Linked DNA regions of Arabidopsis thaliana. The protein of the gene in region 1 purifies or fractionates together with the protein of each later gene. This does not show direct contact. Each region holds a gene or a part of one and is shown in the gene's direction. Other genes may lie near its edges.

What was found. Proteins that work in one complex are often made in the same cells at the same time.
Region 2: the proteins of ATB' GAMMA (region 1) and AOX1D purify together in Arabidopsis thaliana (affinity purification with mass spectrometry, with the first as the bait; one study listed by BioGRID). This does not show direct contact.

What each region holds. Positions count from the first base shown.
Region 1 is NC_003075.7:8,815,237-8,820,271, forward strand, and holds ATB' GAMMA (Protein phosphatase 2A regulatory B subunit family protein), read left to right. Parts: upstream 1-1,685; 5' UTR 1,686-1,722; intron 1,723-1,794; exon of another isoform or gene 1,795-1,810; 5' UTR 1,811-2,194; exon of another isoform or gene 2,195-2,327; 5' UTR 2,328-2,470; coding exon 2,471-3,661; coding exon of another isoform or gene 3,662-3,735; coding exon 3,736-4,113; 3' UTR 4,114-4,491; downstream 4,492-5,035. Other genes in the region: PUX5 (serine/threonine protein phosphatase 2A 55 kDa regulatory subunit B prime gamma), read left to right, coding at 1-128, 375-666, 784-879, 980-1,360.
Region 2 is NC_003070.9:11,666,359-11,670,311, reverse strand, and holds AOX1D (alternative oxidase 1D), read left to right. Parts: upstream 1-1,621; 5' UTR 1,622-1,742; coding exon 1,743-2,150; intron 2,151-2,249; coding exon 2,250-2,443; intron 2,444-2,623; coding exon 2,624-2,918; coding exon of another isoform or gene 2,919-2,951; exon of another isoform or gene 2,952-3,015; coding exon 3,016-3,075; 3' UTR 3,076-3,426; downstream 3,427-3,953.

The sequences.
Region 1 (5,035 bases):
CGGAGTTCTAGGAGTCGTCAACACGCTGGGAATATCCGTACATTCGCCGATCTGAACCGTTCTCCGGCTGATGGCGAGGGCAGTGATTCGGATGAAGCTAATGAGTATTATACCGGTGGACAAAAGAGGTACAATTTTCAACAGATCTGATCATAGTTTGGAAAATACTTAGATGATAATACTGTTGAGAAAGTGAATTAGGGCAACATGATCATGAACTTGAGCAATGTGCGTAGATCAATGATAGTTTAGGGATTGACCATATCTTGTGTATGTAGCTGAATTGTCTTTCTTGAAATTCTTATATAGCTGGAGAAAGTGTATGTTTGTGTCGCTAATAGAGTTTTGTTTTTGGATTGTGTAATGTGTTGTAGTGGGATGATGGTACAAGATCCTAAGAAAGTGAAAGATGTTGATGAACTTTTTGACCAAGCTAGGCAGTCAGCTGTAGACAGACCTGTTGAACCATCAAGATCAGCTTCTACAAGCTTCACTGGAGCTGCGCGTTTGTTGTCTGGTGAAGCTGTTTCGTCTTCTCCTCAGCAACAACAGCAAGAGCAGCCTCAAAGGATTATGCACACCATCACTTTCTGGTTGAATGGTTTCACTGTTAATGATGGTCCGTTAAGAGGGTTCAGTGACCCTGAAAACGCAGCCTTTATGAATGTAATGTCCAGATTTTCTCTAATTAGTAACTACAATTCCATGGAAATCAAGCTTGATACTTGTCTTTACTCACTTGGATAGTCTTTGAATCCCTAATATATATGTTGTCTTTTGCAGAGCATCTCAAGGTCAGAGTGCCCCAGCGAACTCGAACCAGCAGATAAGAAGATCCCTGTTCATGTCGATCTGGTCAGGCGTGGAGAAAATTTCACCGTAAGTCTCATTCCCATCTATCAATAATAATCTCGTTAACCTATTCTCTGGAGAAGCCACTCATAGGATTCTTTTAACGTCTGTATCTTTTGACTCACAGGAACCACCAAAGCCTAAAAATCCATTCCAAGGTGTAGGAAGAACCCTAGGAGCCAGCGGATCTGGTTCAAGTTCAGCACCACAAGCTTCATCTGCCCCAATGAACGTAGCACCAGCACCATCAAGAGGGCTAGTTGTAGATCCAGCAGCACCGACAACCTCTATCCAGCTCAGATTAGCAGACGGAACACGCCTTGTCTCCAGGTTCAACAACCACCACACTGTCAGAGATGTACGTGGGTTTATCGACGCTTCTAGACCCGGTGGCTCCAAAGAGTACCAGTTGCTAACCATGGGGTTCCCTCCTAAACAATTGACAGAATTGGACCAAACCATCGAGCAAGCTGGTATAGCTAATGCCGTCGTCATCCAGAAATTCTAGACTTACATAACTCATCCCTTCGATTTATGTCTCTCTTTTTTTTTTTTTGCTTTTGTGTTTTTGAACCTGATCGTTGACTTTAGTCTCTAACTATCTGGTCAACGCTCTAGAGGCTTTGGATTTTCGTAGATTTATCAAACTCTTTTCTTCAGATTTATTAATAACTTTAGCAGTTTAGCTTTTGCATAATTTATTTATTTCTTCAATCGACTAGCTACTACCATATCTTTTAGAAAGAATAATCGAAAAAATATTATCCAATGAGCAAATTACTTATATCCTTGGACTCGTGAATTGACGAATTGACCAGCTTCTGCATAAATTCCACACACATACGCTCTCCTAATATCAGGGACATAATGGTAATTAACGTACCTGCCCATCTGTCATTTTCCTTGTTCTCTTCAAAACCTTTTTTTTGGAAAATTAATTTTATTTTTTTGTAAACAGTTCTATAATGTCTGTTATTCGGAATCCAAAGAAAGCCAGAGATATTGAGATTTACAGTGAAAATCTACAGAGGAAGAGATAGCGAAGGACAATTATTAATTTATTTTCCTATTTTAGTTTTCATTACAACCTTAATCTTCGTGTTGTGTGTTCTGTAACTTCCCAGATTTTTTTTTTCTCTTTGCTGGGCTTCGTTGCCTTTTCCCCTTTTTTTCTCTTTCCTCTGCTCTCGATTCAGTTTAGGGCGAGAAAAAGTAGCTGTTTTTACAGGGTTTATCACAAAGATCCTTCCTTTTTTACTTGAAGCTCGCCATTTTCTTAGGGTTTCTCTTGATTTCATTCATCTCCAGTGCCCAGATCTCTCTCTCTACTCATCTGCCATTTGTAAGCTCCTCTTCTTCCTCCTCTCTCCAAAGTTTACATTTTGTTGTTTTCTCTGGATCTTCTTAAGCTAATCTTTGATTCTGTTTATGAGATTGTGTTTCCGATTATGAATTTAGGCTTTGTCTACATGCAGGGCTGTGTTCAATGATTAGGGTTTTGATTTAGAACCAAAGCTTTTGGGTTTTACTGGTTTAGTTTAGGCTTGTTGCGAAGTAGAGAAAAAAAGGGAAGGGTTTTGGCCCTTTTGTGGGGAGATAATTTAGGGTTTCTGTAATTATGATCAAACAGATATTTGGGAAATTGCCCAGAAAACCTTCAAAATCTTCGCATAATGACTCGAATCCAAACGGAGAAGGTGGGGTTAATTCATATTACATTCCCAATTCGGGTATTAGTAGTATCTCGAAGCCTTCTTCGAAATCATCCGCATCGAATTCGAATGGAGCAAATGGAACTGTTATTGCTCCTTCTTCAACGAGCTCTAACAGAACCAATCAAGTCAATGGAGTTTATGAAGCATTGCCAAGCTTTAGAGATGTTCCTACCTCGGAGAAACCTAATCTGTTTATCAAGAAGTTGAGTATGTGTTGCGTTGTGTTCGACTTCAATGATCCGTCGAAGAATCTGAGAGAGAAAGAGATAAAGAGACAGACTTTGCTTGAGCTTGTTGATTATATTGCAACGGTTTCTACAAAGTTGAGTGATGCTGCAATGCAAGAGATTGCGAAAGTGGCTGTTGTTAATCTTTTCAGGACGTTTCCTTCTGCGAATCACGAGAGTAAGATTCTCGAAACGCTTGATGTGGATGATGAGGAACCTGCTTTAGAGCCGGCTTGGCCTCATCTTCAAGTTGTCTATGAGCTTCTTCTTAGATTTGTGGCCTCGCCTATGACTGATGCAAAGCTTGCAAAGAGATATATTGACCATTCATTTGTCTTGAAGCTCTTGGATTTGTTTGACTCTGAAGACCAGAGAGAGAGGGAATATCTAAAGACCATTCTTCATCGGATATACGGGAAATTCATGGTGCACCGACCCTTTATCAGAAAGGCGATCAACAATATCTTCTACAGATTCATTTTTGAAACCGAAAAGCATAACGGTATTGCAGAGTTGCTTGAGATACTAGGAAGTATAATCAACGGTTTCGCTTTACCGTTAAAAGAAGAGCATAAGCTCTTCCTAATCCGGGCATTGATTCCACTCCACAGACCTAAATGTGCATCTGCTTATCATCAACAGCTTTCTTATTGCATTGTTCAGTTTGTAGAGAAAGACTTCAAGCTTGCTGATACGGTCATTAGAGGACTTCTAAAGTATTGGCCTGTGACTAATAGTTCAAAGGAAGTTATGTTTCTTGGAGAGTTGGAAGAAGTTTTGGAAGCAACTCAAGCAGCTGAGTTTCAGCGATGTATGGTTCCTTTATTTCGTCAAATCGCTAGATGCCTCAACAGTTCACATTTTCAGGTGCGACTCTCGATAAGTTGTTCATATAGTCTCGCAATTTTGCAGGTTATATTCAAAGTTGCTTCTTTTGTCAGGTGGCTGAAAGGGCTCTATTTCTATGGAACAACGATCACATAAGAAACCTGATTACTCAAAACCATAAAGTGATAATGCCCATTGTGTTCCCGGCTATGGAGAGAAACACACGGGGGCATTGGAACCAAGCAGTTCAGAGTCTGACTTTGAATGTGAGAAAGGTAATGGCAGAGACAGACCAAATTCTGTTTGATGAATGCTTAGCCAAGTTCCAAGAAGATGAAGCGAATGAAACCGAGGTTGTAGCCAAACGAGAAGCAACATGGAAGCTTTTGGAAGAGTTAGCAGCTTCGAAATCCGTAAGCAACGAGGCAGTGCTCGTCCCCCGATTTTCATCTTCAGTTACTCTTGCAACCGGTAAAACTTCGGGTAGTTGAACACTTTCTGCTCTCTATCACCGAGACATACTTTCAAACAATCCAGCAGAATTGTATCGATCCGTTCGAGCATCAGGATCAGTCCTTGAAGAAGATTAAGCACGATGATTAAGAAGGGCAATATCATCAGTGAATACTTAATTATAACATTTTTTTCAGGTTTATGGAATCATGGGTTCAATTGTTTGTTGCTTCTGATCCTTTTTTTTTCTTACTCAGCTCTTAGTTGAATAACAATCTGAGGTGTAAGAAATATGGCTTATAGATATAGTTCTTGAGAGGACGACTAAACAATTATTCGTATTTGTATTGTGGAATGAATTGTATTTTATGCTTTGAAGTTCATTAATTTAGCTCCCCTACTAACCAAATCATAACCGAAGTTATCGAATCTCGGTTTGGTTCGGTATATATGCAACGGCATTTTCGTAAACAAGTCATGTTTTTTTTCGTGTGAGTTTTAGAAAATACAAAAATCATATATAACACTAGATTTTAATTTAAAGTTAGTATAATTTTTTTTTTGCAAATTGTATCTATCTATAATATATTTTTATTTTATAGTTTACAATTGTTATTAAGTAACGTCCTGCCAAACCCGTCCCGCCAAACCTGTCCTGTAAAAAAATCATTTATTTATATTAATATTGATCTTATTTATGATATGTTTATAAATCATTCTCTAAATATTTTTGTCGATGCAGGACATTGAACCCACACATTGTTTGCCAATTGGTTAATATATGTTCATTTTTAAAATTTTGAATCATAAAATGTGACAGAAAAAATTAAGATTTTTTTAAACTCTATATATTATATAATGATGTTAAAAAATTGTGATATATCAAACTTTTTATAAGTTTAAATATTAATAATGTTTTATAAATTTTAAATATATAAATAATAATATTTAAAAAATTAA
Region 2 (3,953 bases), on another chromosome or scaffold:
GTAATCTACTAGTGCGATTTATGAGTCACTTATCTTTACAAAAATATTAAAGAAATAGATGAACAAATCTATATATACATTTTTACAGCTATTTTAGCAAATAAATCATGAACTTGGACTTATTTACAATCTAATGTCATTAGCATTAAATCTTTTTTTAAAAATAATTAATTTTATTTTAAATTTTTGATTTAAATTGTCAATCACATTATCAATCAAATTTAATCCCACCAAACTTCAAATCAATCCTTTAAAATTAGCATAAACATATTTGCTAACAATATTTTAAAACAAATTTTTTTGTTAAATAAATATTATTTTTACTGAACGTTTTTTGTTTAAATAAATAAATTTTGTATTTGAACTTATTTAATATGTCATGTCACTGACATTAATTATTTATTAATGAAAATATTTAATTAAAGATTTAAATCTTCTAAATCCTTGCTTTTAGAGTTATTATGTCATTACCTTATAAGCAAAAATATTAATTTTTTTAAATATTATTATTTATATATTTAAAATTTATAAAACATTATTAATATTTAAACTTATAAAAAGTTCGATATATTACAATTTTTTAACATCATTATATAATATATAGAATTTTAAAAAAATCTTAATTTTTTCCGTCATATTTTATAATTCAAAATTTTAAAAATAAACATATATTAACAAATTAGCAAAAAATGTGTGGGTTCAACGTCCCGCATCGACAAAAATATTTAGACAATGATTTATAAACATATCATAAATAAGATCAACATTAATATAAATAAATAGTTTTTTTACGGGACGGGTTTGGCGGGACGGGTTTGGCAGGACGTTACTTAATAACAATTGTAAACTATAAAATAAAAATATATTATATATAGATTCAATTTGCAAAAAAAAAATTATACTAACTTTAAAAAGTTAAATTGTCACCGCGGTATACCGCGGGATAAAATCTAGTACAACATAATTTCAGAAAAATATACAATAGTCCTTTTCTATCTCAACATCTTTTTTGGATCAAAACCAAAACAAACTTAAAACAACTTATCATTTTTTAACACAGTAGCAATTCATTCTTTCTTTCTATCTTTCTTTTTTTTTTTTTTTTGTGTGTGTGTGTGTGTGTTTGAGTGGTAAAAGTAGCAATTCATTCTGATTCGAGAGAACCACATTTTTTTCTATATTATAAACTCTTCTTAATTTTTCTATTTATCAAATATAGTATAGATTCTAAATTAACATTTGTTTAAGAAAATATAACAAGGTATATACGAAATATAGGAAAAATTTAAGCGTCTTTGTATATTATGATAGTAACATGATCTGAGTTTGTAATTTCATGATGTGTAATAATATAGTTGGTGTGTCTATCTCGTGATAAACTGTAGTACTTTTTTGAATATATGAATTATTGAACAATAAGATAATAATATAATATGATGGTGACAAACACAATCCTTAAGTAATTTCACATGTTCTTTTACTTTTCCACAAACATAAAATGTAACAAAACGTGTCAAACATTTCCTCCATTCTTATTCATCCTCCAAGAAACTTTGAACTTGACCGAGATTAGTAATAATCACTCGTGTATATAAATTCATCTCTTCATAATTTATCTGCCACATATGAACATAACCCAATCTGAAGATCAATCATAACCTTAAACCATCTCTCATAATTTTAGTATTTCTATTCTCACCACCAAAACTCGTTGATACATCACACCCCAACTGTTGTTACTCATGTCCTACAGATCGATTTACCGCACTCTTCGACCGGTACTATCATCTTCGGTACAATCCTCCGGTTTAGGAATTGGAGGATTCAGGGGACATCTCATTAGCCACTTGCCCAATGTTCGGCTATTGAGCTCTGACACGTCATCTCCGGTAAGTGGGAATAACCAGCCAGAAAATCCTATCCGAACGGCCGATGGTAAAGTTATATCCACTTATTGGGGTATACCTCCTACTAAGATCACTAAACCGGACGGTTCAGCTTGGAAGTGGAATTGTTTTCAGCCATGGGATTCATACAAACCGGATGTGTCCATTGATGTAACTAAACATCATAAACCCTCCAATTTCACTGACAAATTCGCATATTGGACCGTTCAAACTCTGAAAATACCGGTTCAACTATTTTTTCAGGTAATTTAATCAGAAATTTTAAATCTTCTTCATTTGTTCTTTTATTTTTAACATGATTTTGTTTTTTCAAAAATTGAATAATTTGATTTTTGAGTATAGAGGAAGCACATGTGCCATGCGATGTTGCTAGAGACGGTGGCTGCGGTGCCGGGAATGGTCGGGGGGATGCTTTTGCACTTGAAATCTCTCCGGAGGTTCGAACATAGCGGGGGATGGATCAAAGCTTTGCTCGAAGAGGCTGAGAACGAGCGTATGCATCTCATGACTTTCATCGAACTTTCACAACCCAAATGGTATGTATATATGCATGCATGTACCTTTTTAGTTTATTACCTTTTCTAAATAACACGTAACTTGTATTACATTTCTAATCAAGTTTGGTTTGACCTAGATCGGTTATCTAATAGAAACAGTTCTAACCTAAAACTTTTGGAATTGTGTAATTCATTTATCATTTGAACCGGTGTTTGAAGGTACGAACGAGCGATTGTGTTCACGGTCCAAGGCGTTTTCTTCAACGCATATTTCCTGGCTTATGTAATTTCACCCAAACTTGCTCATCGTATCACTGGATACTTAGAAGAAGAGGCTGTAAATTCTTACACTGAATTTCTCAAAGACATTGATGCCGGAAAATTCGAAAACTCGCCAGCTCCAGCCATCGCAATCGATTACTGGCGGTTGCCTAAAGATGCAACGCTTAGGGATGTGGTTTATGTTATACGAGCTGACGAAGCTCACCACCGTGATATTAACCACTATGCTTCGGTAAGGAGTTGTATAGTTTATTTGTCAAAATGATAAAACAATGTGATATTGGTATAAAATGTAAATTTCGTTACAATATGGAATTTTATGTGTGCAGGATATACAATTCAAAGGACATGAACTCAAGGAAGCTCCGGCTCCTATTGGATATCATTAAAGATTATGTGACAAAGTCACAAAGCTGTGTATACATCTATGAACATATGTTGTTGTGGATCTCCATGATATTTTTATTTTATGTTTTCGATTTATTTAAAACTGTTATTCGTTTTTATTAGCTCAATATGGATATTTAAACCATATTATTTTGTTACGATTTATGAACATAGTACTACTCATGTGTGTGTAAAAGATCATACTGCCTGGACACGAAGCGGATATCCGGAAAAATTATAATATTTGTTTTTTGATTCGTTTTAACCGAATACTTGATTTTGTGATTTGCTTCGATTCGAAAATTTCCGGATATCCGGAAATTCGAATATCCGATTTTTTTTGTGATATTTGCGGATATCTGCTTTGATACATATAAATAATAAAAAAAATCTGTAAACTATACAAGCATATCAAATATTCAATGTTTTTATTTAACATCCTTTCAAAATAAGTTCTAAATACCAAACATAACTGTTGTTGTTATCACCAGTCAACAAAATGTTATCAAATTAATTAAAACAAAAACAAAAACCGATAGTTTAAGATGCCATTAATCAAAACATAACATAAAAGAAAAATGATCAAACAAACATCTTAACATAAAAACAGAAGATAACAACAATACACAAACTATTTATGATATTTATATATAGACATAATTATATATTCTAATATATATATATATATATATATATATATATATATATATATATATAAATACGGATCGAAGCGGATATTCGATTTTTTAAAAAACAATATTTGTTATTTGCTTCGATTTTTATGAATACCATATTTTCTTATTTGCTTTGCTCCAAAATCTTACGGATGTTCGGATTTTTCAAATCGAATCAAATCGAATACCGAGTCAAAGTGGATCGA